Linked DNA regions of Arabidopsis thaliana. The protein of the gene in region 1 interacts with the protein of each later gene in a pairwise test. Each region holds a gene or a part of one and is shown in the gene's direction. Other genes may lie near its edges.

Evidence for each region.
Region 2: the proteins of RR1 (region 1) and AT1G80440 interact in a two-hybrid assay, tested with the Arabidopsis thaliana proteins (one study listed by BioGRID).
Region 3: the proteins of RR1 (region 1) and AT1G15670 interact in a protein complementation assay, tested with the Arabidopsis thaliana proteins (one study listed by BioGRID).
Region 4: the proteins of RR1 (region 1) and AHP4 interact in a two-hybrid assay, tested with the Arabidopsis thaliana proteins (one study listed by BioGRID).

What each region holds. Positions count from the first base shown.
Region 1 is NC_003074.8:5,752,570-5,761,734, forward strand, and holds RR1 (response regulator 1), read left to right. Parts: upstream 1-3,251; 5' UTR 3,252-3,543; coding exon 3,544-3,730; intron 3,731-3,786; exon of another isoform or gene 3,787-4,145; intron 4,146-4,227; coding exon 4,228-4,380; intron 4,381-4,463; coding exon 4,464-4,904; intron 4,905-4,977; coding exon 4,978-5,054; intron 5,055-5,132; coding exon 5,133-6,278; coding exon of another isoform or gene 6,279-6,284; exon of another isoform or gene 6,285-6,501; coding exon 6,502-6,570; 3' UTR 6,571-6,874; downstream 6,875-9,165. Other genes in the region: COBL8 (COBRA-like protein 8 precursor), read right to left, coding at 7,074-8,494, 8,995-9,165.
Region 2 is NC_003070.9:30,238,464-30,246,065, forward strand, and holds AT1G80440 (Galactose oxidase/kelch repeat superfamily protein), read left to right. Parts: upstream 1-2,988; 5' UTR 2,989-3,299; coding exon 3,300-4,364; 3' UTR 4,365-4,713; downstream 4,714-7,602. Other genes in the region: AT1G80450 (VQ motif-containing protein), read right to left, coding at 5,692-6,225.
Region 3 is NC_003070.9:5,386,888-5,394,157, forward strand, and holds AT1G15670 (Galactose oxidase/kelch repeat superfamily protein), read left to right. Parts: upstream 1-3,064; 5' UTR 3,065-3,231; coding exon 3,232-4,311; 3' UTR 4,312-4,785; downstream 4,786-7,270. Other genes in the region: AT1G15680 (F-box family protein), read left to right, coding at 6,520-7,270.
Region 4 is NC_003074.8:5,551,257-5,558,374, forward strand, and holds AHP4 (HPT phosphotransmitter 4), read left to right. Parts: upstream 1-2,940; 5' UTR 2,941-3,094; coding exon 3,095-3,139; intron 3,140-3,217; exon of another isoform or gene 3,218-3,227; coding exon of another isoform or gene 3,228-3,254; coding exon 3,255-3,385; intron 3,386-3,458; coding exon 3,459-3,527; intron 3,528-3,761; coding exon 3,762-3,833; intron 3,834-4,026; coding exon 4,027-4,099; coding exon of another isoform or gene 4,100-4,111; exon of another isoform or gene 4,112-4,137; intron 4,138-4,214; coding exon 4,215-4,262; 3' UTR 4,263-4,533; downstream 4,534-7,118. Other genes in the region: AT3G16370 (GDSL-like Lipase/Acylhydrolase superfamily protein), read left to right, coding at 5,672-5,915, 5,996-6,126, 6,220-6,453, 6,539-6,794, 6,899-7,095. UniProt on the Arabidopsis thaliana protein: Functions as a two-component phosphorelay mediator between cytokinin sensor histidine kinases and response regulators (B-type ARRs). Plays an important role in propagating cytokinin signal transduction through the multistep His-to-Asp phosphorelay.

The sequences.
Region 1 (9,165 bases):
ATGGTTCTGTCATCGGGCTATATTTTTTCCCCAGATGTTTAGTGTAATTAATATAAAATTTCACATTTTAACTCCTATGTAAGGCTTATCAAATCCAATTTATACTCTAAATCATTGCATCAATGTAACGTTCATTATTATTTTAGTGTGATTTTGTTTGTTTTTTTATTGTAATTTTTTCATTGTAACTCAGTGTATACAACACTTGCAAAACGATTAGTTTGAAATAAATGAAAAAAGTTGTTCAGTTTCTAACTATTGGTGTTTAGTAATACAAGTTACAACTTCCTACCAAAAGTTATGGGCACATGATAGGACACCCATCAAGTAGATGAATATATAAGTTATGTACATAACTCCACATTTCTATTGGCAGGCGTTAATTAAATTTGGTTATACAAATTTACTTTTCAAAATCCATATGGATTAATAATTAGGACGAAAAAGAACCAATATTCTATTGGCCCGCGTGAATTAATATTTGACCTTAAAGCATTATCTAGAAAAAGAAAAAAAAAACTCCATTATACCATTTAGTTGCTTAAACAGATACTTCCAATGCAAAATATGAAAATTTGTCTTCATCACATGCAATCGATTCTGAAATATTCACATTCGAGAATTTTGGATAAAATGGTCCTTCGTATATGAGCATATCAAGTTATACTTTTGTTTTAACGCATTTGTATGTTTTGGATCTAAGTATTTTGATTATCCAATTTGCTGAGTGCATTTTCCATCAAGAACTTCAACAAGTTTTCAGTAGCTTACTCACTTAATGTTAATATAACGCTCCATAGGTGTGCAAATGTTAGTCATATTAAAGTTGTTGGTTCTGCATAAAAAGCTGAAACATTTGTGTTCTACAAAACCTTTTTTGGTGACATGGACCTATAGTTGGTACTTGAAATATAAATAAAATAGGAGGATCTGTAATTCATGTCTGTCTAAGCACAATAAAGTGAAAAATATAAATTAAAAACTCAAAAAGCTCATCGTAAGAGTAAAAACTTTTTACAGAGAATATACGGTTTCAGCGGGTTACTTTCTTGGGACCTTCTCTATATTATAGCTTTTGGCGCAGTTAAATTTATGTTATATTAATCATCAATTTTTTGTTTTTACGTTTTATATCGTATGTAAGGAAAAGTAAAGAAAGCTATTAGAAAAAAAAGCTACTAAACATGAAATTATGAGTATATCTTTCTTAAACTCAAATTCAAGCTCTCGTGGTAATAAGTGGCTATTGACGATAACAATTACAAGTTGGAATGTTGAATAGTTTCGTTTTTTTTATTTCTATTAATGTTTTTAAAATGATTGTTGAAATAGGGAAAATTTAACAAATGAAGACAACGATAGATGGAGAGGTCGATGCAAATGGTTCGAGTGATCTTATCCATTTCATGTGGACACGTGTCGCAATAGGGAAAGCTTCTCAGCAACGTGATTTATTTGTTTTTTTCTTATCATTAAATGTTTTCATTTTATTCTTCGAAATATACACATGTACAGTATTTCCAAAAGAAAATACACTATAGTTGATAGTTCATAAAAATTAAAGAAATACTTAATTGATTTAATATTCGTATTGTTGAGTTTTCCTTCTAAATACTACAAGTAGTGAATTTTACTTGATAACATTGATTAATGTAAGAAATTAGGTATCGATGCACATATGAAACAAGTCGTATGTCACACTTAAAACTATCGTTAATTTGAAAAAGATAAGACATGTCGGCGGTGCTAAACAACTATTTAAGCAAAGTATACACTGAACTTGGATAACTTAGATATAGTTTACATTGAAGTTGACAAATTTACACATTTATAAATAAGTTACTGGTTTGTATGTGTTTATAAATATGTCGTAGAGCAATCGAATAGTCAAATATGATTTGTTATCCTATACATTATTAAAAATATACTTTCGGGGGAATAGGGCGATTGGTGGGTAGCATATGATGTTACTAATCATTCAGATGAACCATTTGCATTATTTCTTTGTTTATTTAGTATCCAACGTTTTAAGAGAAGAAGCGCACATGTTTTTTTTTGCACCATATACTGACTACTGTTGTTGTAAACTTGTAATTATACATACATATATATATATATATATATATATATATATGTTTTCAACAATCAAACGTACAATTTTTTTCTATTTTCCATTTAATACAATTTATTTCCTAGAACTACAAGTTGTTTTTGATTAAAACATGAAAAGTATACTATATAAGTTATATTCTTACTAATCATAGTTACACACGACTTGAAATAAATACATACTAAAAAATTTGGAAGGTTATATGTTTAATTTGCACCAAAAAAGGCATCGAGTAATCTTATGTTATGTATACATCATATATCTGGTTTTTTTTTGTTGATAAAAGTATATGTACTATATCTTAGCTAAAGATGTAGGTGATGATGGGAAATGCTTAGGTGTATTTTGGTACCTTAATCATATGCTTGAATGTGCGTAGACGTATTATTTTGTTTAATTTAATGATATGATTATATTTTTATTTTGCCGTTTAATTTAATACATGTAGGTCCAATAGACAGGAGGCATTGTTTCTCAATTACATAAATTCAAAGGGTAGTTTAGTAAATAAATTATAGGCATATCAAAACTAAGAATTTTTTATATATATATGCAGCTGCTCTTTTGTTTAAGGCAAATTCCTATTCGAAATTGGTAGAAAATGGAAATTAAAACAAAAAATTAGGAAACTAACAACAATAATACTAATGAAAATCTATTAAGGTTTGAGTTTGCAAACTTTACATATGACGAGTTAATTAATTTTTTCATGCATGAGCTGGATCCACGAATCAAGGGTCTTTGGTCCCACTTTCTTCCCAATTATATAAATTTCCTTACCCTATATTTCTTTCATTGATGATTCAACCCCTATATTTCACTACTTCACAAAATAACCCAGAATTTGAGCTCAAAGCAACATCCAAAATGTTCTTCTAAATAGAAAAATAAAACAGAATATAGAACAATAGTACATATAATATACAAAACTAACTTGTAAGAAATTGAGAATAAAAAAGAGAGTGGATCTAAATGAAATTTAATAAAACCAATAGTCTAAATGTAGAGAGAATGATGAAAATAAAGGACATGTCAGCTTCTACATATATGTAAATAAAAAATATATATGACTGAGTATATAAAAACCACATTTTTTTTTTCTTCTGCATCTAAATGTTACAAAAATTGAATAGGAAAAATTAAGAGAGCTTTACTCTGTGAATAAATAAAAAAACAGAGAAAAAGAGCTCTAAGGTGAGACAAGCCTTGTCTTCTTCAACTCCCTAAGTCTCATCTCACCATCTCTCTCTTCTTCTTTTTTTTGGTTACCCAGAAGAGATTCACTTCTATCTCCAACAATTTCGTATTCTCTCATAATATTCAATTTTAAATCGAATAAAACTCGCGTCAATTTCCCCTCTTTCTTTCTGGGTATATATTCTTTTCTGCTTTTCTTTTTTTGTTTCTTGGGTTCGAGCTACATAGAGAGAGGTATGATGAATCCGAGTCACGGAAGAGGACTCGGATCGGCTGGTGGGTCCAGCTCCGGTAGAAATCAAGGAGGTGGTGGTGAGACCGTCGTCGAGATGTTTCCTTCTGGTCTTCGAGTTCTTGTCGTTGACGATGACCCAACTTGTCTCATGATCTTAGAGAGGATGCTTAGGACTTGTCTTTACGAAGGTTCGTATCCAAAAACCAAGATCTTCTCTTTTCATTTTTTTTTTTTTTTTTTTGTTCGTTTAATCTCACGAGAGAGAGAGAGAGAGAGAGAGAAAGAGAGTTCATGGTCTCTTGCTCCAATGATGGGTTTATTTGTGGTCCATTCTCGAAAATTATGTTATTTTGAGGAATAATTATGGTTTTCATATCGGTGGTTGACTAACTTTGCTCCCCCTTTAATAGAAACCATTTTGGTTACTTTTTAAGATTCACATATTAATCTCGAGCTTCTTCATTTAGATCACACCATTTTGATCTACTGATAGATTCACATGTAGATCCATTGTATATAATAAGTTAGGGGAGGTTTCAAATGGATTCAAATCTTGAGTCTTTGATCTTTGACTTGAGTTTTGGTTAAATGTCAATTCATGAGGTCCTTGTTGTCAGAATTCAAATCTCTGTTTTTTTCTTTTATCTTTGAAGATATGAAACATTTTGGTTGTTATGACATGCAGTAACGAAATGCAACAGAGCAGAGATGGCATTGTCTCTGCTCCGGAAGAACAAACATGGATTCGATATAGTAATCAGTGATGTTCATATGCCTGACATGGACGGTTTCAAGCTTCTTGAGCATGTTGGTCTAGAGATGGACTTACCTGTTATCAGTAACGTTCTTTTTACTCCCTCAAATCTCATCTAAGTTTGAATCTTTTTTTATAGATTATTGATCTTGTATTCGTTTAACTAGTGATGTCTGCGGATGATTCAAAGAGTGTGGTTCTAAAGGGAGTAACGCACGGTGCGGTTGATTACCTTATCAAGCCTGTACGTATGGAGGCACTTAAGAACATATGGCAGCATGTAGTTAGGAAGAGGAGAAGTGAATGGAGTGTACCGGAACATTCTGGGAGCATTGAGGAGACTGGCGAGAGACAGCAGCAGCAACATAGAGGAGGTGGTGGTGGTGCAGCTGTTTCTGGTGGAGAGGATGCGGTGGATGATAACTCATCCTCGGTTAACGAAGGTAACAATTGGAGGAGCAGTTCACGGAAGAGGAAAGACGAGGAAGGAGAAGAGCAAGGAGATGATAAGGACGAAGATGCGTCGAATTTGAAGAAACCGCGTGTCGTCTGGTCTGTTGAATTGCATCAGCAGTTTGTTGCTGCTGTTAATCAGCTCGGCGTTGAGAGTAAGACTAAAACTTCTTACATTTGCATTTGTGATTGTTATGCTCAGGGTCTAAATGATCTTCTATGGCGCAGAGGCGGTTCCTAAAAAGATCTTAGAGCTGATGAATGTTCCTGGTCTAACCCGAGAAAACGTAGCAAGTCACCTCCAGGTATAAATCTTATACTGGATACCAAAATGAGCCATTGAAATGCTTAGATGTTCTTAGCGGCTTTATGTGGACTTGCAGAAATACCGGATATATCTAAGACGGCTTGGAGGGGTATCGCAGCACCAAGGCAATCTTAACAACTCGTTTATGACGGGTCAGGATGCGAGCTTCGGACCTCTTTCGACATTGAATGGGTTTGATCTTCAAGCACTAGCCGTCACAGGTCAGTTACCTGCACAGAGTCTTGCACAGCTTCAAGCCGCTGGTTTAGGCCGGCCTGCGATGGTCTCTAAGTCAGGTTTGCCGGTTTCCTCCATTGTGGATGAGAGAAGCATCTTCAGCTTTGACAACACGAAAACAAGATTTGGAGAAGGGCTTGGGCATCACGGGCAACAACCCCAACAGCAACCACAGATGAACTTACTTCACGGTGTCCCCACGGGTTTACAACAGCAGCTTCCTATGGGTAATCGAATGAGTATTCAACAACAGATTGCTGCTGTTCGAGCTGGAAATAGTGTTCAAAACAACGGAATGCTGATGCCTCTAGCGGGTCAGCAGTCTTTGCCTCGGGGACCACCGCCTATGCTAACCTCTTCGCAATCATCCATCAGGCAGCCGATGTTATCAAACCGCATTTCCGAGAGAAGTGGTTTCTCTGGAAGGAACAATATCCCCGAGAGCAGCAGAGTGTTACCGACAAGTTACACTAATCTCACAACACAACACTCATCAAGCTCGATGCCTTATAACAACTTCCAACCAGAACTTCCCGTGAACAGTTTCCCGCTGGCAAGTGCACCAGGGATATCAGTACCGGTTCGGAAAGCCACTTCTTACCAGGAAGAGGTTAACAGCTCCGAAGCGGGTTTCACTACGCCGAGCTACGACATGTTCACCACCAGACAGAATGATTGGGATCTGAGGAATATTGGAATAGCCTTTGACTCACATCAGGACTCAGAATCCGCTGCGTTTTCCGCTTCAGAAGCCTACTCTTCTTCGTCCATGTCAAGACACAACACGACAGTTGCAGCCACCGAGCATGGCCGAAACCACCAGCAGCCACCATCGGGAATGGTACAGCACCATCAGGTTTATGCAGACGGAAACGGTGGTTCAGTGAGGGTGAAATCAGAGAGAGTGGCTACGGATACAGCAACAATGGCGTTTCACGAGCAGTATAGTAATCAAGAAGATCTTATGAGCGCACTTCTTAAGCAGGTTTGATTTGATTTTTTTTTTTTTGTCAAACTTATATAGAAGCATAATCTGATCCGTCAACGTACATGTTTGCGTTCAAAATCAAATATATAACAACTCTCAGACGCTTTCTCACCATTGGTCGCATGTCTTTTTCATAATAATGCAAATTACAACTAAATAACAAAAAAAATCAGTGAACCAAAAAAGTTGAAAAACACAATCTTGAATTATTGATATACAGGAAGGGATTGCACCGGTTGATGGCGAATTCGACTTTGACGCATACTCCATCGATAACATTCCGGTTTGATTGGATAAAAAAACCGATAAACCGGAGGGACTACCCGGATCTGTACTGTATCATTTTTACACGACGATCTACTAAAACTTGTTTGATATATATGTAGTCTGCATGAAATTTTAAATGGCAGATTATATAAGAAATAATTATTCATGTTAGGGGTTAATATCCTTGGAGATTCTTTTGTTCCTCATTTATGTAGTGAGGCTGTTTAGGGTTTTGTAAGTATGTATTTCGAGTAAATGCTTAGAATAATTCGAACAAACTTAATTTAGTACAACGCCACAACGTGAAATCAAAGCAATTCAAGATCAAAACACAAAGGGATTTGTCTGTTCAATATTTGTATGTATACATACTGATTACTAAAATCTGATCATACGAAATTCAAGAATCACACGGTGCACAAAGCACCACTAGTAGTAGAAGTAATTCTGCATCAAATCTGGTTAGAAAGAATCAAGAAAACTGTATATTTTCTGGCTAATGAGGAAAGTCCTTCACTGGAACTTTTAAATCCGAAGAAACAGTAGAGCCAAAAATGGTGTCAGGATGAGAAGAAAGGTGGATACATGTTTCCTGTGACTGTTGCTCGTGGGTAGTACAGAAGGGAGTGAACATTCCTGGCCGTTGAAGAGTACTTTGGTGGGAAACCCATCTTTGGAACCAACTTTGATTCCAGGAGTCAGTTTCTTGGTGAAGGAGATAACCGACTGCTGTTTCCCGGGTATCCGAAAGTCTTCACTCGGGTTTTTTCCGTCTTTCTCTGCAAGGAGATAGTTCAGTCCAGGGAGCCCTTCCATTAAAACAGTTGTGTTCTTCCCGTTGACCGCGATGATACTTCCGTTAAACGAGTACGCTTTCTGAAAACCGGGTGCAGCATTTCTCAGTTCAACCGCGGTAAACCAATCCACGAAATCAGTATCACCCCAGTTGAAGAGTGTGACTCGAGCAGTCCATCCGCCTCGATAGTCTGTAGCTAGGTGCCAGTTTATGCTGACTCCACAGTTATCTCCACAAGGTAATGGGTCCGGGACTTTCCGGTTTTTTAACACTGCCCAAGCGTTGGTAAGTTTGGTTCGGTTGTCAAATGGAATTAGAAGAGCCTGATATGGAAGAGGAAGAGCTGGAGAAGTTGTGCTGCAAGTACGCGCCACTCTGTCGCTAGAGCAACCTCCACAAGCGCAGGTCTTACACGGGATTACTGAGTCATTGAAATAAGAAGAGAATGAGACGCAGCATTTAGGAGGAGTTGGTTGAGTGATGTTGCAGACGACTTGCCAGCTAGCAAATGCACTCTTGTTTGAAGGCAAACCGCTTGTATCAGGGAACTGGCTTGAGCTGACACGAAGAGGAGGGCCACATTTGTAATCCGGGTTAAGGTTACCTTTAATCTGCCAGCTCTGGGGAGGTGTTATAGAGGAGATGTTGAGATCAGGAGGCATTTTGTAAACTTCTATTTGAAAAACCGATTTAGACTTCTCTGGATCCATGGACCGTGGCAGAATAGTTCCATTTCTGCAGCAGTATGGGATACGCCCGACATTGGTATCGTTATACTTAGTCAGGGGTAGGTCTATGATGTGTGGCCTTCTTGCACAGCTCATGACATTAGAGAAGTCAAGATCTTTATAGTATTTTGCTTGAGGACCAGTGATGCAATCCGACGAATCGACAACACTTGGATAAGCTCCTTTGGTTGAGAAGAGAAACTCATCTTTCATCCACATAAAACTTAGATCCCAATTGTCAAGCCGACCAAGCAGGTTATGATTCTCGATAGTGACCTGCGCTGAGTAACTCGACTGATATGCTCTGGTCACATCGTACATTATGGTTAGATCTCCTTCTTGCCTAGGAAGGAACTTTTGACCAATTTTGCTTGTTGTAATGTTCGGATTCGGTGTGCAACATACTTGCAGAACATTACTACCTGGAAAAAGCCATAGAGAAGAAAAGAAATGTCAGTGAAACACAAAGGAAACATTTATGCTCGCAGCAATAAGAGTCTTATTATGATCAAGAAGTAAAAGAAAAACAAATATGCAAACTGAACAGCTTAAATTCCAAAATGTTTAATCAGATATTCCACACATTTATCAGAAAAGCCAAGCATGAGATAGTTTCCTAAGTAAACTTAAGGTCTAATCTCAATTGCTAATAAGACTAGTTCAAACTTTTAGTTTACAAGAAATCTATATAAACAATAGAATTTTTCAACCACTCTATTGATCACAAATAGACCTGGTCAATGTGATCATATTGCTCGACTTTTAAAACTCTTGGTAATGCCTTCATAAGCAACCCAAGATCACATAATATTTAAAATTGCAACAATTCATTAAAAAAATTATGAACAATTAAACGAGAAATGAAAAAATACATTAAAAAATCTCAAGATTTCAAGTCATAAGATTCAGATGATTTTGATACCTTGTTGAGTGGGTTTAGGACAAGACCATCCATCATTAACAAGAGTGATGTTCTTCGGAAGCGGAACACTCGGCGGAGCAACTCCAAACTGAGTACCCACGAGCTCAACACGTGCTTCCATCTGAGTTACGTCGCCGGCCGTCATGATCGCCGTCTTCAAATCCGCCGATG
Region 2 (7,602 bases), on another chromosome or scaffold:
TTTAACCGCAAACTGTTTTTGGACTTTTGAACCCATTTCCGAAATTTCAGGGCTTCTTTTCTTCAAAGTTACGTAGTACGTACTAATAATAAGCCATCGTCACGACTCACGTGGTTACTAAATAAGATATGCTTATAAAAGGATTCAATATATTCAATGGCTTTGGCACGTTCTGTCCTCGCTTGACTTAAGCCATGTTAATTTGACCGTTGTGTTGTCGTTGGTCTGTTCGACGCTATCAATATAAAAAAATGTGTTTTATTAGCTAAATTCAGTTGATTTATCATACTCTGTGCTTTCCCTCTCGCTCACTTTATATATATCGAAGAGTATTGAATCATCTTGATTTTCTTATTTCATTACCATTCAACATTAAATCATGTTGTCAAAATTTATTTCCAAAAAATGACATGAAACCTCGAGCAAACCCTTAAAAAAAAAAAGGTAGATAAGTTGATGTTAGTATATGATGATGAGGATGAATGAAAATAGATATTCCGCGCACTTATAAAAAAAGAAATACAATTACTGGCAGTAGAAGATACGAAGTCCACATCAGCTACCGGATAACTATCATAATGGATATGGAAAAGGACGTAAAAATAAATACCAAAGGAAACTTCATGAGCTTATCCTGTCTGTATGTACGAGAGCTGTTTTATTTGATGTCGACCGCATGAATATCCAAATGATCTATTGCATGTCTTCGTAACAATTTGATCCCTACCATTAATTAATATGCAAAATAATAATGCATATATGATGAAGACGTCGAGTGCCTAATAGAAAGATGCGGCGAGTCAAACTATCTTTTGAGACATATATACTGTTTAGCTATATATCTTTTCAAATGAACATTTTCCTATGTAATTGGCCAGCGTTTTCTGCGGTGCCAAAGCTCATATTCTCTCGATCATCTAACTGTAAACCTTATTACTTAGCTCTGGCAGATGTTATTATCTTTGCCGGTTTGCTTCGAGGCTTTGTGCTTCTAATTTAATCAAGTGTCGACATAATTGGAAAAAAAAACGAGTAAAATGCAAATAAATAACGATCACATATATAAAGAAGTAATTAAACTCTTTTGGCTAGTTATTTCGTGTGTTCTTCGTTTTTTTCCAATTTGCTTGGCGAATTTTCTTGTGAAGAAAATACTTGTTAAGAGATTTGAATAATTGAACGCGACCAAAGAAGAGTATGAGAATTGAAAATATCGACACGAACATTGATGAAGTGGGTCCAACACTCCCAGTACCAGTCTATTCGGGCTATTCCTATCTACGAAGAATCGGATTGCTTCCGTCGTTTATTGTTTAGATTTATCAAAGAGCCAGCCACCCGACGAATCACGACGACTCTTCTTCCCCCCTTTAAGGATGTTGACACCGTGTCGTTTTGTCACCTTATAGAGTTATAGTCATTCAGACGCCGTGCCGTTTTATCAGTTAGAGTTATTTTCTTCATGTTGAACCTTTTTTTGTCAGCCCGTTTTATCCCACGTTGAAGTTTCAATTAGCTTATTTTAAAAAATATTAGATCGGAGTATCTTTTGTCTAATTAACCAAAACTCCAAGTTACTACATTTATATGCAAATACATGAATGGGTCATAGTAATCACAAAACTATTGTTTTAATAAACCAAATATATGCGTTAAAGATGTTTACAGCTTTATACATATGGCGGACACTAGAACTAGTCCAACCTGCATGGAACATGCTACTAATTCCCTAAATATTGTATTATTCCGTATTCAATTTTGTACAGCTACGAAAAATAGAGTATTGTACATAAATGTCCATACGTTACAGATTAAATTAGTAAGCAAAAATGCTTTGATTAACGAGTATACGCTTTTGAGTACGGAGACAACATTTCGTTTCTTTATGTCACACGCGTTAAGAAGTTTAATAAAGATCATATATAATTACGACAAATATCTGTATATATTGTAGCTATATTTATAAAAACATATAACTTTGGTCATCGGTAATAGTTTAAAGATGTCGAGTATCAATACAGATTTAAATATGGCCGACCAAAGATAGACACACACATACAGACAACAACAAGCCAAATAAGAATCAAATAAATTTTTGTCAAAAAAAAGGGAAATTCTACAAGTGAAATTAGAGAAATTATCTAGAAGGATTTTAGAGGAAAGACTCCAAGGCATTAGTCTTTGAGCTGGATTTGGATTTCATTTTAATAAAACATAAATTAATCTTTAAACGCTATTATGTGCTTGGATTATGTACCACATAATGCGAAGGAAACATCTTTGTAGTTTTGCGTTCTTCATATAATAATATTTTGCCGTCGTGTATGTGTAGTATACATATATTCATCACTTTAGTATACAAGTTGCCACAAAGTTCTGTTGTTTATAATAAAACCAAAAAAAAAGAACAAGTTCTGTTGTTTATAATAAAACCAAAAAAAAAAAAAACAAGTTCTGTTGTTTGGAATTAGGAGATCGATTTAAATTTTTACAAAGCAAAAGGGTGTGTGTGGTCCGATTAATATTTTAGTATATGAGAAAAAGAAAGGGTGTGATCTAAATTATAGATTCAGAAGGTCCATTCAAAAAGTACAGTCTTTTATGTGTAGGTTTTAAGTTTTTTCATTATTCTTAAACGAACAAATGATAGATTAATTTTATTCTGTTTTTTGTTGTGCGCACTAGTAAGTGTATACTCTATAGCATTAGATAGAAAACAGAGTAACATGTCAAAACAACATCCAAAATCTAAAATCAGTATTAGTCGAAAGGCCTAATTCGATATTCGGTAGTATATTTTACCGTCTATGTTTAGATATATAATCTGTTGTTGACTGGAATTCGAATGCTAAATTACTAAACCTGACCAGAAAAATATCAGGAGAAAATGAACTTGGATATGACATCCATCAACTTGTCCCAATTGGTCCAAAGTCTCCATCTTTAAATACAAGACACAACCATTAACCGTTTTTGCCCATACTAACTCAAATTCCGTTATCTTCATTTTATTTGATTTAAACTATAAAATATACAACACAAAAATTATATTAAAAAAAGAAAGAAACGATGAATGAATCAACAAGTTTTCTAGAAACACTTATCTTCAAATATCTATAAAGCGGCACACTCTCCTCTTTCCCATCATCATCATCATCTTCTTCAACCTTGTCTCGATCCAAAATTTCATCTTTTACCAAAACTATTACAATATCCCTCACTCTACTTGTAAAGCTTCAATCTTCTTCACTTCTCAACAAACAGATAAACAAAAAGCTTCAATCTTTGATACTTTCTCGATGGAACTTATCCCCAATCTTCCCGACGACGTTGCTCGCGAGTGTCTCCTTCGCTCCTCCTACCAACAGTTCCCTGTCATCGCCTCCGTTTGCAGAGCCTGGAACCGTGAAGTCTCTCTCTCTCAGTTTTTACATCAGCGAAAAGCTTCACGCCATAGCCAAGAGCTTCTTATTCTGTCTCAGGCTCGTGTCGACCCCGCTGGATCCGGAAAGATCATCGCTACGCCTGAATACCGGATCTCTGTTCTCGAATCCGGGTCGGGTCTTTGGACGGAGCTTCCTCCGATTCCTGGTCAAACCAAAGGACTTCCTCTGTTCTGCAGATTGGTTTCCGTTGGATCCGATCTTATTGTCTTGGGTGGGCTTGACCCGATTACGTGGCAGGCCCATGATTCGGTATTCGTCTTCAGTTTTCTCACTTCCAAATGGCGCGTGGGGGCAACCATGCCAGGTGTACGGAGGTCCTTCTTCGGATGCGCTTCGGATTCGGATCGGACGGTGCTGGTTGCGGGTGGACACAACGAAGAGAAATGTGCGCTTACGTCAGCTATGGTGTATGACGTGTCAGAAGACAAGTGGACGTTTTTGCCGGATATGGCGCGGGAACGAGACGAGTGCAAAGCGGTATTCCATGCTGGCAGATTCCACGTCATCGGTGGATATGCCACTGAGGAACAGGGGCAGTTTAGTAAAACAGCCGAATCGTTCGATGTGTCTACGTGGGAGTGGGGTCCACTTACGGAGGACTTCCTCGACGACACCGGCGATACCGTTAGCCCTCCGACCTGCGTCGCCGGTGGGGATTTGTACGCGTGCTGGGGTGGCGATGTGATGATGTTTCTAAATGACAAGTGGCAAAAGGTGGGCCAGATCCCTGCTGATGTGTACAATGTTACTTACGTAGCGGTGAGGCCCGGGATGCTGATTGTGATCGGCAACGGGAAGGCGTTGGCTGGATACGGTGAAGCCACCGTAGGGTATATATGTGATTTAAGTAGCTCACGATGGGTAAAATTGGAAACACACGGTGGTCATGTTCAAGCTGGCTGCTTCTTGGAGGTCTAATGGAAAACCTATTCATCTTTGGAGTTTGAACCTAAACCGCAACAAACCAATGGGTAGTCTCGTGTGTCAATCTACAAATCTTTTCATGAACAACAAAATAAAGAAATATTGTATTTATTCAGTGTCACTTTACCAAATATTTATGTTCTCTATACAAAACTTCAAAAGGAAGATTTGAACTTTTAGGTTCTCTATACAAAACTGATCTAATTATATAATTGCAAGCAAACAAACTTTCGAAACATGTGTCGACACAAAACTTTTAAAGTTTATTAAAGGAGCCTTGATTTTGGTATCCAAGAACTTTAATGGGTTTCATAGACTAGTCCTATTAATTTTTTTACTCGAGGCCCAAATAGACCAGATTTTGAATGATGAACTTTTGATCTTTAAATGGGCTTTTGGATGGGACTTGAGACAAATGGATGGCTAGGATTAGAGCAGAGGTTTGAAATATGGATTACACCTGAGGGGCAGAGTTCGAAGATAGACTGACAACAGACTTTAAAGAGAGATGCAGAGACACCCTCTGTTACAAGTAACATCTATTTAATATCGATACAAAAGAAAAGTGCATTATATTTTCAGCAGGAGAATTAAATCGTAGCCGTTGAATCTGCAGAGGAAATAGGCGCCGCTTCGTTCTGCGTCACAGCTTTGTCATTAAATCCAACGGCTGGCAGCTTTATGACACACACAAACAATTGAATTGGAGCAGTGTTAAACTGTACAGAGAATTTAGCTTCTTTAGTTTCTTTCTTAACCAAAAAGTCAACACATTTTTGTATCTATTATAAGTCGGCCTATTTAGCCTATCTTTTCATTCATCTCCATACACACATCATCAACTTTATTGTAAGGAAAAATTTAAGATACGAAGACGATTACGCTAGCTTGATCGTTGTAGACTTGTCAAAAAGTACTACTTTCCAAAAGAAAATTGAGCATTGTGGTTATATTATCTTTTTTCAAGAAATTTAGAAACTAGATAGCTTGTGTTTTGGATCCCACGTATTAATGGTTAGATAAAAGATCTAAAAAGACATTGATTTATATGCTCGTGAAATGATGTCTTCCTTGACTAATGTAAGTAATTGCCGCGTATAGAATAAGATTTTTTTGTATTCCAAAAGGAAGTGGAGTACACGCGCCGAAATAGTTGACCCTTGAAGAAAAAGTTTAATGAAGGATGAAAAAAGTCTAGGTTAAATGGAAAACGGATATTAACTAGCCCTAACAAAAATAGTAAAAAGCAACAGCAAATATCACGTGTCCCCAACTTACGATTAAATAGCCTAAAACTCAAATTATACGTTCTAAATTAAGACTAAGAGTCTCGATGATTATCTTCATGAATCCGGTGATTAGTGCCGTTAGGAGAACGAAGAGGAAACAGGGGCAAAAGCTCCGGTGCCGGCTCGGAGCCGCTTCTCGGACTCGGAAGGAAGTAGAACCCTTTTTCCGCTATGGCTTTTTGCTCTTCCTTGTCCGGTTGCGCGTGGTGTTCCTCACGCGCTGAATGTGGACTCACGCGCGCCCAGAATGGGTCTAGGTGAGAGACGGGAGAGACGAGGAATCCTCGGTGGAAATGGCTGAAAGCGTCGTTAGGGTTTGTGATGTTGTTGACCTTAAGCTCCATTTTCTTTGATGATTGACGCCGTTCGTGGAGTTTGAACGCTGGCTTTTTGGGAGTTAATGGAAGCTTCTGGTGTGCGGCTGAGACGGCGGAGAAGGATGAGGAGGAGATATCGGGTGGTGCTCCAGTGAGCTTTTGGACGATGTTACGGAAATTAGAGGGGTCTGCTTGAACGAACATGGTGTTTGGCTCGGTGGCATAGCTCGGCGGCTGCTGGTGACTCATGGTGGTTGAGATGACTAAAGAGAAGAAGAGAAGAGAGAAGAGAAGCTTGTTTTTGTTTTTGTCTAAAAGACATTCGTCTGCCTACTGCACATATATTTAAAGAAGACCCTATTGTGTGTTTGTGTGTTTTTATTGACATTTTTTGCCAACATATTAAATTTAGTAATTAACCAAAGTGGCTATTATTGTTTGACTTTGCACGTCTAGAATCTTTAGTTGATAAGTTGACTAAAAAATAAATTATATGTTTAGTTGCTAATAATTCACTAATATTTGTGATTTGAATACGGATTAAAACTGTTTCTAGATGATTATAATGTCAAAGTCAACGCCCAAGCTAACCATACATTATTAGAAGTGTTGCCAATTCAATACCTGGGAACATCATATATAGATAATTCGTGATAATGAAACATTTAGTCGGTTCATTGTTGACTCCGCAAGCAACTTAATTGATATTTTCAAAGCATTCCACTAGTCTATAATATCCCACTATATATTTTTCTGTACACAAACGTTATATACTTTAGACGTGGTTGACGAATTGATATGTGATACAAAAGAAAACCTAATGTTATAACCTTTGTAGGCAACTGCGTAATGATTGATCCCTGGCCGTGATCATATGATAGTATGTAATAAGCGTAATTACCACACGTCCATGATTTTATGAATTTTCGAATTTTGAATTTCCCAAAGAAATAAATGCTGTGACGAGAAGGGCATCAGAACTTTCCCCTACAAAATTTATGGAGGTTCAAATTTTGAAAAGTAAAAAATTAAATGACTTCAAATCCGTACATTGTTGAGTAATTATAATAATATAAGCGATAAAGTTTTTGGTGTTGTTTGTTAGAGATTGTGATTACTTTTAAAAAAGTACTTCTTCTTACGTTACATTTTATATTGTTAATATGAGAGAATACATCATGCATCCGATTTAATTAGTGGAGGACAAAGATAAATAGAAATGTTCAACATATAAAACAATCTGAAAAAGAAAAGAGAACAAAATTAATAGGCTTTTAGTTTTAGGTTGCGTGAAGGAAGTAGGCAAAAAGCGAAGATTTTTTCCCTCCTTTTTCTTCACACTTCACGTTTTTTCTTTGTTCCTTAGCTTTGCTTCCATTTGACTCTATGAACTTTTTTTCTTGTGTTTCCATTGAAACCTTCTTTATTAGTATTCCTTTTAGGCTTGAGTAAAATACAGAACAACTCTTTCTTCATTTCCATTTGTCCACTTTTCTTCTTAGATTCTCGCTGTTTCAGTGGGAACTGATAGAAAAAATTGCTATGAAATTTCTGATGAAAAAAGTATCCAACTAACACCCTTACTAGGAAGTTATCTAATTTTAAATTCTGAAAACTTAAAAATCA
Region 3 (7,270 bases), on another chromosome or scaffold:
TTAGGCTATACCAAATTTTCAAGATTGGTTTAGAAATGGGAATTTGGAGAGTGGACAATCCAATTTGTTTTCCTATATTATTTCATTTGAATGGAAATAAAGATATCAGTTGCGTAAATGACACGATCTGGATTTGGGGATGTTGTGGACCCTAGAACGAGTCCAAGTTGCATGGGACATGCAGTTTCCCAAACTTTGTAATAGTATCATTTCATGTTTTTTGTTTGTCATTTTCTTATCAAAAAATAAAAAGTTTATGGTTAGAACCATGTTTTGACTCCTACCATAGAGAGTAAAGGATGGCTTAATAAACCCGCGCATGGTACGTTATGCATGCTCAAAAAATGTTTGGCAAAAGAGATGATCGGTCCGAAAAATGAGATTGTCGACATTCGGATAAGGGCCTAATGGTAGATGTTTTCTGAAATCTACTTAGGGAGTGACGTGATTCACTTGTCTTTAGAGCTATTTATGTCGATTGTAATGTAGACATACCGTTTCACTCGTTGGTCTCATCTAGTATTGATTCTTTTAACATGTCATTTAACTGCCATAGGTTGATTGGCAACCAGAAAAATTATCTTCGTATATAGTATATTTAAGTCAACTTTACAGAAACTATTATAATTTCGGAGGGGACAAACTTAGGATTGGATACGTCATTCTTGTTAATATAATACATATACGATCATTAATATTTTGCTATGATAATATTGTATTTGTATGAAACTAACAAGCTTTAATAAAAATCGTTGTTCTTCTGGATGGTTTAGCCAATCTCTCTAATACAATTATTCAATGGCCGACAAACAATAGAGAAAGGATACACAAAAAAAAAATTAAAATAAGAGGATGGAAGGAACCACAAATATTGAAGTTTTCAATTTTTAGGCTGTTTCTTTTCTAATTCCTTTTTCACGTTTTCTTTTGCGCTTAAACAATATTGAATTGTTAATTATGAGTATTGTATAGTACACTGGTCACTTTTTGGATAAGCCGTTCACATGGAATCAAATGAAACTAAAATATCAAATTGATTAGAAAGATGTTTAAAATATGACAGTTGTCTTAGAACAATCTCATGCTGATAGAATAAACACATTGATATTATAAAACGGAAATAAATATATACAATATGCACCTTTGAATTAATTATGCGTACTTCGAACAAATGGTTAGCTTAGTATCTACTATATTGTTTTAAATGTCTAATTTGACATACATGAATGTAACAAAACAACGAAGTCAGTGAAAGTGACAAGGTGTTGCCTCTTTTAAAGTCGCTTTACCTCCTATGGTTTCGTCTTATCGTCTTGTGCGTTGGGCCACTTGTGCCAATTATCATTTTCTTAATGATCTGGTGAATTTAGAACCAAGTTTGTACTTTCATATCTTTAACAAATTATGCAACCATTTTTAAGACCTTATAAAAAGTGACCAAAAAAGGTACTTATGTGATAAAAAAAAAAAAAACAGATGGTGCGATTCGTCGTTAACTGCAATCTACATAGCAACGTTTCAAACCATCGAAACATCGTCTCTAGACGCTTTGGTTTAAACTAACCAGTCTTTAACTCCCAAGTCCCAACTATTTGAATAACTCAACCATTAATTTTATCCGTGTATAATACGATAGGCTATAGTATTAGAATATAATAATCGTTTGGTTGGCTATTGGTTAACATGTCTTCGTGAACATTACCGCACATGGGATCACATGGACCTTTGTATATTTCGAATATTTTAACTATACAATACTCTTGACTTTGTTTATATATATTTTAAAAAATGTTGGAATATAGCATAGATTTAGATCCCTACATGCATTATTCATTTTTTTTTTATATCCACTACTCGGGCTAATTTAATACTACTATTTTTATATAATCTGTCTCTACAACGTGGTAGAACAGCTTCATTAATACGTTACTTGAAGATTCACTAATTATTTATACATGTACACTTCAATAATTACGGCAAAAAGGTAACGTTAATTCCACGTCGAGCATCTTAATATTACTAGCTATTAGTCACATAGATAACTTTTCCTTCATTCGTAAAGTAACCCGTAAAAATTACGATGCTTAACGTGAAACGGTGAAATATGAATTAATTATTTATCCAACATATAATCCGATAGATGTCATTTTCGTGTCAGTACACATTTAGTCTACGATATAACCAAAAAAAGAAAGACATAAAGAACGATTTTTTAATAAACAAAATAGATAGTCGAAAATAGATTAATTAACAAGACTTTGATTTAGCTAACTTGATTGCTTGCAAAACTGGTCTTAGATCTAGAAATCCAATGACCATCACATCATTCAACATGTCCCAATTGGTACACCGTCTCCATCATATAAACCAAAACCCGCACATTAATCCCATTAACCGAACGGTACTCTCTCCGGACTTCTGTTAACTTCTCCTATCAAAGTTACGTTTATAGAAGAAATTCATGTATACATCGAAAAACAAAATGTCTTAAAAGCAAAAGAATTCAAACAACATTGAACTTTTCCTATTGACGAAAAGTCAAAACTTTTACTTTTCTAGTCTTCTTAACCAATTATCTCTTGTTGGAATCGTAAATAGGTTAATAAAATAAATACATATCTCTATAATTTAAAATGGAAAAAAATATCACCAGTTTACTATTTTTTTTGATTTAAATTATAAACTTTATACTTAGGATTATGTTGATTTCCAATTAAATCATTAATTTTTCTTGACTAAACCAATTGAGATACTGATTTTTTTTTTCAGCGCCATCAATTGATTTAGACACGAGAGATTACTTCGAATTCGAAAAAAATAGAAAATCCGAAGTAGAGGAGAAAATCCGTATAAAAAGGTAGAAAAATTTGAAATCGATTTTAGAGATCTAGGGTTTGTGGTTTGGAAAATTTCTAATAATGTGTATTAACTGGATTAGTCAACGAGAGTTCGTAATTAAATTGAAAATCAATATAAAATTAAGGATTTAAATCACTAGGTCAAAAGTTCATGTTCTAAAACCAACAAAAATGGTAAACTAGTGCTGATTTAAATGATATTTTTACCAATTGAAAATACACTTTCCTTTTTTATTGTTCTAGAAGACTTATCCCTCTATAAAGTAGCCACACTCTTCTGTCTTCTCTCATCACCTCATTCATATCTCTCTCAACCTGAACATTTTCATTTTTTCTAAATCAAGAACTTCAAATCTTGAAACTTTCTAAAAAGATGGAGCTTATTCCTGATCTTCCCGAAACTGTAGCCTACGAGTGTCTCCTACGCTCCTCCTACAAGCAATTCCCTCTTATGGCCTCTGTTTGCAAACTCTGGCAGCGAGAAATCAGCCTCTCTGATTTTTTCCGACACCGGAAAGCTTCAGGACATAGTCAAGAGCTTGTTGTCTTGTCTCAAGCTCGGGTCGACCCGGTTAAAGAACTCGTATCGGGTAATAAAACCATCCCCACCCCCGTGTACCGAATCTCGGTTCTTGAACTTGGTACCGGTCTAAGGAGCGAGCTGCCTCCGGTTCCAGGTCATTCCAACGGGTTGCCTCTGTTCTGCAGATTAGTCTCTGTCGGGTCGGATCTTGTTGTATTGTGCGGGCTTGACCCGGTTACATGGCGTACCTCTGATTCGGTCTTCGTTTTCAGCTTCTTGACCTCCACGTGGCGCGTCGGGAAGAGCATGCCAGGTGGACCGCGTTCCTTCTTTGCCTGCGCTTCGGATTCTCAACGGAACGTCTTTGTGGCTGGAGGACACGACGAAGACAAGAACGCGATGATGTCAGCTCTGGTGTATGACGTGGCAGAAGACAGATGGGCTTTCTTGCCGGATATGGGCCGTGAGCGAGACGAATGCACAGCTATTTTCCACGCTGGCAAATTCCATGTCATCGGTGGTTACTCCACGGAGGAACAAGGGCAATTTAGTAAAACTGCTGAATCGTTCGACGTCACCACATGGCGGTGGAGTCCACAAGGAGAAGAGTTTCTCTCTTCGGAGATGACTATGTGGCCTCCGATTTGTGCTGCCGGTGAAAACGGAGATTTATATGCTTGTTGTCGCCGTGATCTGATGATGATGAAAGATGACACGTGGTATAAAGTTGGGAATCTACCTGCTGACGTGTGCAATGTATCTTACGTGGCGATAAGGAGGTCTGGAAACCTGGTTGTGATCGGTTCGGCTCGGTACGGCGAACCAAGTGTAGGGTATAATTGGGATATGAGCAATTCTCGATGGTTAAAACTGGAAACACATGATAAATATGAAGGCCACGTTCAAGCTGGTTGCTTCTTGGAGATATAAAAAAACTTTAGAAAAGGTTCCGAATCTTTTGTACGTCGTCCTTGCGAAATGACGGTAAATTTGGTCGGTTGATTTTGTCAAGTGTGACTGTATAAATATTATATTGTTATAGATAAATTTGTTAGCTTGAATGTAAAAAAATTATTGTCGAGTGATTTTATAGTTTTTAATCTTATTTTTTAAGTTGTTGTGTGATGTTACTAAAGTTAGTGGTAGATTTTATATTTGGGTTGCCTAAATTTTCAGCCATGTACTATTTGGAATCTCAACTTTCCTACTTAAACTTTTAGCCACTTGAAAAACCACCATAAACAATTTTAATCTCGATAAAACTATATGTACTTTCGGATTTGTTCTTAAAACTACGCCTCCAATTGAACCGACCAGTTAACCGTTAATTATACATCTGGTTTGACTTATCCATAATTTAACCGAAATTAATTCGATTTAACTCTATTTTAGCCTAATTTTGACCTAAATGTAAATAAATTGCCTTATTAAGAAGTAAAAGTGTTTTTATTAATTTTTATTTGTGATAAAAAATTAAAAATATTAAGTTATAACTTAATTTTAGCGAAAATTAATATGACAAAATATACCTCAAATTATATTTTGAGCTACATTTTGTTATAGAATTTTGATAATATACAAGCATATACATTTTCTTTTTGGCAATCATTTATATTTTTTTATAAATTTAAAGCTATGTCTTTTTTTTAAACAAAATATTCATTTTTCTTGAAATCATAATATATGACCTTTGAACTTTATATATGTAATGAAATTCAAAATATATGCCAAATTAATTTTTATATATATCCGTAAACACCACAATCAAAGTATATATTATGGTATTTATAAATTCATTTTTCTTTATAGATTCAGTTTTCTTTTTATATATTCAAGATGAGTTATATATATATATATGGTTATGGTGTTTTTAAAAAGAAAATGTCCTTTGAATTATTAAATTTAGAGTATATACCAAATACATTTATATATATAACACCATTTTATTTATAAAAAGAATTTATTGTCTATTTTGTTATATTATTTTGCGGTATATTTTTTTATTACCAAAATATATACTAAAATTTTATTATATAATTTTGTGTGGTATATTTGTTATTTTATTATTTTGGTAAAATTAATTAATTAATTTTTAAGTTTTTATCAAAAATAAATAAAAATAAATAAAGTATTTTTCTTCTAGAGAATATATTTTTTGGGTCTAAATTGGGTTAAAATAGAGTCGAAATCGAATTAAGTTCGGTTAAATTTCGGGTAAGTCAAACCGGATGTATAATTATCGGTTAACTGGTCGGTTCAATTGGAGGTGTAGTTTTAAGAACAAATCCGAAAGTACATGTAGTTTTATCGAGATTAAAATTGTTTATAGTAATTTTTCAAGTGGCTAAAAGTTTATGGTGGAAAATTGAGATTCCAACTACTATAGGGTTGAAAATTCAGGCAACCCTTTATACTTTACAATTTAATGTTAGTCCTAATAAGCCCAACTAAAGTACACTTACTCTATTGATCTAACGAAGCTTACAAGGACAAGAGTGTCGATACGTTATGTTAGTCCCATTTCGTGTTAGAATTGAAAATTTAACATTCGTGTCATTTCGCCAACAATCTCGAAAGAATCCCAAAGTGCAGTTGCCGAGATAGAGCGTATTTGAAGACTCGGGTTATAAATTTTTTGGAAACATGGGCTAAGCTAAGCCAAGCCCAATATTCCAAAATATTAGTTTTTTAAAAAACACTAAGAAAACCAAACCAGCAAAGTCTTAGTTCATCTCTAATTTTCTTTCCTCATCACAACGACGCAACTATAAATAACCAATAAGTTGTGGGCTTGTGGCTTTAGTTCATCTCTAATTTTTAGGGCTTCTGTCTTCCTCGTCAAGTTATTCAGATTTGCTCTTCAAGATGTATCTTTAACATGCGAAACTAAAGAAATCGAAATTTATCAGAAAGTTGGAAAAATATATACATTTACCCGAGTAGATTATCCTAACAAAGATTTTTTTTTATAAAAAAAACTAAAGATAATAATTGAGTTTTGTCGTTATGAAACCCTAAAAAATTATCATCCTAGAGATCCGGATGAAACCCTAACAAAATAAGCTTATAATAAATAAAATTAACAAATTGAGTTTTGTCATGATGAAACAGTAAATAGAGAGAAAAAGATATATCCTGATGGAGAATCGAGAAGTAAACTGGATGAAGAGTGGTTGCAAGCGTAGAATAGAGCTTCCAGAGGAATTATTGGCAGAGATAGTGGCGAGATTACCTTTTATAAGTATAACGAGGTTCAAGTCCGTGTGCAAAGGATGGAGATCATTAATAGAATCAACGTATTTCCGTCATCTATTTGTGTTTGCTCACCGAAACTCTTCATCGTCGTGGTCACTCGTGTGCGGGACATTTGGTTGGTCAGTCGAGGAAATGGCGGGGTTCTACGGATGCAAGAGATATGGTCTTCCCCGTAGGCTAGGTTCATACATCCCGCCTCATGGCTTGGTGGATAAACATAAGATCGTAGCCTGCACGGACGGATTGGTTTTGCTTCAAACCGTAACGAAAAGAGAGACGTTCAGTGTGGGTAGCCCGGTGTTACGGCAGTGGGTTCAGCTCCCACCTCACCCTTGGAAAGGGATCAGTTCATCAGTTTTGGCGATAGGTCTAGTCACCCGAGTAGAAGACGGTGTCGTTATGGAGTATAAGGTGGTTTGTATGGATATTGATTACCGTTGGGAAGTTGAGTCCCTTATCTTGGAGATATATTCGTCACTGACGGGAACGTGGACTCGCAAAAAAGTCCGTTGTCCTAGTCTCATCGTTTCTTTATCCTATAAAAGATGCTTGAGTTTGAAGAAGATGCTTCACTGGCTTGACACCCATTATCGTTGTCGGAGTAGCGTGGGAGCCATTGTAGCATATGATGTCT
Region 4 (7,118 bases), 200 kb from region 1:
TCAAAACTTGATAGTATTTTCTAGTTGGGATGAGTAAATGAAATTGTATATTAACATGATATGTCGGAAGACGGTTCCCTATGATTTAATGTAAAACTCGGGTCTATATTTTTATTTTACTTTTATGATTATGATTAGTCGTTATCGGCCGATTTATTTGTTATTTAACAATTTGTTTAGGATTATAGCTTTTTCGGATTGGGAGGAATCATGTTCATAATATCGCGGAGGTGTAATTATTCACGAAAGTGATAGAGGATAAAAATAAATTTGTTTAGCATATACTTTATTTAACGGGTGATAGATGATTGAAGTTACATCTTTCAAATAATTGGATATTATTGAATTTATATTAATAGTTGAGAAGAATGTTTTTAATTGAGTAATCAACACAATTAAAAGAATTAAAAATCTGTTTGTGTGTCGACATTTGAACTTTTAAGGAGTCATCTTCAATCACGAACCAGTCAACATTGTGCCCTTTATACGAAATACTTAGTTCAATTAGGTGCTAATAGCTACTTCTAATAACTTTAGTAGCACAAATTCTGGCATCATGTATATCCAACAAAAAATCTCAAGATAACTTTCCGAAGAATATCTATCATTTAAAAATAAACTTTCTCTAAACATGTATTAATCTTCCAATCATAGGAATTAATAGTGGAACAAGCTAGCCTTCTAAAGTATTACAAGACTGATTTTGTCTTGAATATGAATATAAGTTATATTACAAACTAGCCTATAGTCTAGCAATTTCCTAATAATATATGAAAACTAAATCTCTACATATTTTCTCCCTTCGAATTAATTAGTCATTTGTACCAGAGGCAGAGATGATAGTTACGAGTTCATAATAATTAAGAGTTAAGACTATATATAGCCTTAAAGCTTAGAAATATACAAAAGATCATAAGAACAAAAAATAATTTTCTTTTATAAAATTAAGATCACATATATATATAAAGGAATAATTGGATTGTGTAACACATATACAACAAAATTTAGATAAATGTCATGAATTTTGTCCTCTTTTATTAGAATTTTATCTTGTATAATACTAAAAGGTAAACATAATAACATTTGATTTAAATACAAAATTGGGGTTTATCATGTAAAACCAACCTCACAAGTTTTGGAATGAATTGTTTTGTTTCTTCTAATTTTGTGGTATTACATATTTGTTATTAGAGGGGAGGTCGGAATTAAGGAGAATAATCGAGATGAGACAGCAAGCAATAATAAAACTTAGATTCTAAACCCACTTCCACCGAAAATATGTAGTAGACAAGTCCTTTATGTGAGATTGGTTTGGTGGGCGGAGGAATAAATAAAGCTGATTTTTTTTTGTATATGATCAATCTCTCTCTCTTCTGTAATTCGATCTCACGATGCTTGTCTGAGAGAGAAAGAGATATAGAAAGGAACAAATTATGCTGTAATGATAAAAAGATCTTTTATGTCTTTGTGTCAATCATTTAGATCACACTTGTTATGTGCTCTTCAGTTTTTCCTTTTTAGATACTTGTTCCTTGTTTCCAATAACAGAAATTTATGGTTTATTTTTTACTCGTTGGATATATGTATACCTTATTCTCTCTCTCTCTCTTTTTGGTTTCCTACTTCTTTCTTTTTTTGTTACAATATAGAAGTAGGAAACACACGCATCCGCACAAGTACTAGCCTTTCCTTGGCACACAACACCCTCTCACCTCCACACATTAATGGAAGAAACTTGGAAAAGATTTGCATCTAATTTTTCAATGTTTGTTGCAGCGGTCAAAGAGAAAGAAAACACATCAAACAGAAAACCCCAATAGAAATCTATTTATTTCTGGTCTTGATCATGATACTAACCTTGACTATGTTTTTAATATAAAAATGTCGTTTAATGTTTATCACAAGATATAATCCTTACTTAGTAATTGAATTCCGGACCCCAAACTAAAATACTTCGAATTAGTATTGCTTTCTGTTGTTGAAACAAAAGATAAGCAATAATAGTGTTTGCTAGTGTGCTAGATTCCAACAATTTTTTCTTCCAAAAGTACAACTTTTTTTTGCCCATTTCGTAAATTCATATGTACATATATAGTTGAATGTTGTGGGTGTACGTAATTGGTACCATTAAAATCAGGAAATCACAACCTTAAAAATAACAAAAAAAAAAAGAAAAAAGAAAAGACAATGATATTATAGAAAACTTTGTGAAAACATGAATTAAATTCAGTAATTAATCAAGACGGAAATGGTCTGTTCAGAATATTTTTCTTGAACTGTATACTTTTTCAATCTATAACTTTCTTTTTCACTTTCAGGAAAATTCGTGTCCACATACATTTTACTAGTATATATTTGCCTCATTTCCAAAGGTGTGTTTCGTATAGTATCAACGTTTAGCTTTTAGGTTCTATATTCGAAATTTTACATGTTTCTATGATGTACGTATATATATAATATTAGTCGTATTCCCATTCGTGAGATCCTTTGATTACTTATTAATTAAGATGCATTTCAGTTATATTTTTGGGCAATAGATCAATCATCCACAGTAGTTTAAGTTTCATAATGGACCATACTATTAATTAAACAATCAACATTGAGGAATTCTCTAATTGAAATCTCTTATTCAAAACTTTAACATAAACACTATCTTATATATATAAAAGATTACTATACATTCAAACTTATATATCAACACACATATATGATCATTTGATAACACCTACCATTTGTGTTATACATATATTTTATAGAGAAGTTATAGAAAATTATACTGAGTATACATCTATGTGTCATCGAAATAAGCTGATAATAACGAATACACGTTTTCTTTTTATGTCTGGAGTAGAATACAGCATTCATGCCCTTACGTTGCAGGTTCCCATCATTTTACAAATATTCTCTTCTCTTTTCTACTTTCTCTTTTTTGATGTAATACGATCTATTTATTTATTCTATATTTCACTATATATATCTCAGATGTCCAACGTTTCAGTATTGCATTGCCACTCGAATTACCTAAGATAAAAACGAATTATCACTTTGATTTTTCGCACTTATAGTTAAATCTATTCTCAAAATTTAAACAAACATGCAGAGGCAAGTGGCACTCATCAAGCAGTCCCTCTTTGATCAGGTTTTGGTCGTTTGTTTCTTCGTATTTTCGTAATATAACTTCGTACGTCGTACCACTTATATATGAATTTCTTCATATAATTTAGAAAATGACTAATATAGGAAAATGCATGCAGGGATATCTCGACGAACAATTCATGGAGTTAGAAGAGCTCCAAGATGATGCAAACCCTAATTTTGTTGAAGAAGTTTCCGCATTATACTTCAAAGATTCAGCTCGGTTAATCAATAACATTGACCAAGCTTTGTGAGTATTATTTTGTTTTCTATTATATATATATTTTTTTTTTTTCAGTTTTCTAATCATTTTTACAATGCAGGGAAAGAGGATCATTTGATTTCAATCGGCTGGATAGTTACATGCATCAGTTTAAGGGAAGCAGCACGAGGTAATTTCCCCCCTTAGTTTTTGACTATTCTAATTACGCCTTCAAGAAATAATTTTACTTAAAGAAATGCGAATACTTAAATGTTTATAAGATAAAAGAATGTAACGCAAAAGTACATTAAAATTACTTCCATTCTCATTCAGGATTCAATGACAGAATCTACTTTAACCAGAAATAATTAGATTTTATGATCGTTAGTTATACTGACAAATGTTGCATTTCTTTTTTTTGTAGCATTGGGGCAAGTAAAGTGAAAGCTGAATGCACTACGTTTAGGGAATACTGCAGAGCTGGAAATGCGGAAGGGTACTTTCGTCTTTATACTTATATACCTTCATGCTTCTCGTTTTTAACAGAAAACTAAGTAACGGGGTCAAAATGAAAATAAGTATAGTTTAGATGGCTAAAATTGCTGCAATTAATCCGCTGAACCTTGAACTTTTACTTTACTTCATTTTCGACCCCCTAATTAGTTTTCTTCGCTTTTTCTTACTTGCAGATGCTTGAGGACTTTCCAGCAACTGAAGAAAGAACACTCAACGTTGAGAAAGAAGCTTGAACATTATTTCCAGGCGAGCCAATAATCAATTATGCTTAATAATTTACATAATTAGAATGTGATTAGAAGTTATCATCAATCACTTTTGATATAGTATTTGCTGAAGTGAAATTTTTTGTAATGAACAGTTGGCAAGGCAGGCGGGGCCTAAGGAGACAGCACGTAGGCCCAAGTAAGAGAGAAAGAGAGAGAGACAGAGATAAATGAGGAATCGTCGTCGAATTTTGTAGCAAAACTATATAATAAATAGTTCCTCTTTATTTTTATATATTTCGATGTACGTTATAAAGAAGGTTTTGGACTTTTATATTATGTCCGTTAATAAACGGTCCAAATGTCTCTATGTTTTTCCCCTTATATCGCCAAATTTTCCCTTGGGAGTTTTATAGCTACGATTACCTCGTAACATATGGCTTCCTCTAATAACGGAATACAGAAAAGAGTGGACCAAAAAAATGCATTTTTTCGATTCTATGATGAATGCATTACCTTGTTTACAAAAGGAAAAAAAAAAGAAACTAAGCTTTACATTATTCGGTTTGTTTCCAGGAACCGTGTCCAAATCCTAAATATTCTTACCTATTTTTATATCATTATGTTAATATTTGTCTCTACTAGTACTGATTAATAAATATTTAAAAAAGAAAAAAAAAACCAAAATATTCTTAGGTAAAAGTCTAAAATAACATTATCATTATGTTACTATTTGTCTCTACTAAAACTAATTATTAAAAAAAAAAGAATGCCATGGCTTAGATGCAAACTATTCTTAGCTAAAAGTCTAAAATAATAACATTATCATAAACAATTAATATTACACTTTTCCATCTAATTTCTCTTACATGCCCTATTTTTCAAACGATGTCGTTTAAGAATATCACATAGACCTTCTATTTCATGAAAAAACTAACTCACCAATGCAAATAAATAAATCAAATGTTTGTTTGTGGATAAAGTAAAACGTTTTCTTTCAATGGCCCAGCATTTACTAAAATTTATTTCAAGTTCTTCCACGTAAAGTCTACACTACATACACTCATACAGGCAGTGTAACGCTGATTCGTAGAGCTGGAGAGTATCACAACAATAAATTTCTCTTCCGAAAGAAAACAGCCTAATATTAGGGAGATATTTACATACTCTATAAGATGTTCTTTAATCTCTTATATATATTACATATGAAAGAATTAATTGTTTAATTATTATCCAAAGCGACGTGAAACCACTCTCATTTATTAGCCCTAGCTATATCTCACAACCTCCATCTTCCTTACTTTAAAAACACAGACCAGATCCTATTTATAGCATCCATGTGCGCCATTGAAAGGTAAATTTATTTAATAAAGTTTACCTATAATATCAAATTATGCAAAACACAGGCTGGTTCAGTTTTTTCCACGAATCAAAAATGGTTGGAGAAATATTGAATAAGAGAGAGAGAGAGAGAGAGAGAGATAGAGTTTCAGAGTTGACACAACATTGAAGTAAACTAAACTCCTAACCTCTTTATCTATGTGTATATATAAAACTCAAAAGTACATATAATCTTCACCATTCACACATAGTCACATACCAAAGCAAAAACATGGATCGTTGCACGTCGTCGTTTTTGCTTCTCACATTGGTCTCTACCTTGTCCATTCTCCAAATCTCCTTTGCTCAACTTGTTCCAGCAATCATGACATTCGGTGACTCTGTAGTTGATGTCGGCAACAACAACTATCTTCCGACCCTTTTCAGAGCTGATTATCCTCCTTATGGCCGTGATTTCGCTAACCACAAAGCCACCGGTCGTTTCTGCAACGGCAAATTAGCCACTGATATAACTGGTAAAAGGTTTTACTTGTTACTCAAGTTATATTTTTAAGTTTGTTTGACACTGAAGTCTTTGTGTTTGTTTTTGTTACAGCTGAGACTTTAGGCTTCACTAAGTACCCACCAGCTTATCTAAGTCCTGAAGCTTCTGGTAAGAATCTTCTCATTGGTGCTAATTTCGCTTCTGCAGCTTCAGGTTATGATGACAAAGCTGCTCTTCTCAATGTAAGTAGTGACGGTTCTTTGTTCTGATACATTTCTTCTTTGATCTGTTTCTTTTTTTTGTTTTGGTTCTGATCTTAGTTCTTTTTTTGGCAGCACGCGATCCCGTTGTATCAGCAAGTAGAGTATTTCAAGGAATACAAGAGCAAGCTAATAAAAATTGCAGGAAGCAAAAAAGCTGATTCGATCATAAAGGGAGCAATCTGTCTCTTAAGTGCAGGAAGCAGTGATTTTGTTCAAAACTACTATGTGAATCCTCTGCTTTACAAAGTTTACACTGTTGATGCATACGGATCTTTCCTTATCGATAACTTCTCTACATTTATCAAGGTAAAGAATTTTCCTTGGTTATCCTCTGTTCTGAATAGAGAAAAAGAAAGATGAGACATTTTGAGTTTTTGATTGACTGTTGCAGCAAGTGTATGCGGTTGGAGCAAGGAAGATCGGTGTGACATCTCTGCCTCCAACAGGATGTCTTCCCGCTGCAAGAACCCTTTTCGGTTTCCATGAAAAAGGCTGTGTTTCAAGACTCAACACAGATGCTCAAAACTTTAACAAGAAGCTTAACGCTGCTGCTTCAAAGCTTCAGAAGCAATATTCCGATCTTAAGATTGTTGTCTTCGACATCTACTCTCCACTTTATGATCTTGTTCAGAACCCTTCCAAATCCGGTAAGTCCTCAAAATGGACTGATATATATAGTTTGTTATAACATTTATTGGTGCTGATCTGCTTTAGATAATCCATGACACATTCATCTTTTTGTCTATAACAGGATTCACGGAAGCAACCAAAGGATGTTGTGGAACAGGAACAGTCGAGACAACTTCACTCTTGTGCAACCCGAAATCGTTTGGGACATGCTCCAATGCTACTCAGTATGTGTTCTGGGACAGTGTGCATCCTTCTGAAGCTGCCAATGAGATTCTTGCCACTGCCCTAATTGGACAGGGCTTTTCTCTCCTCGGTTGATCTCACGTATTTTTCTTATATTC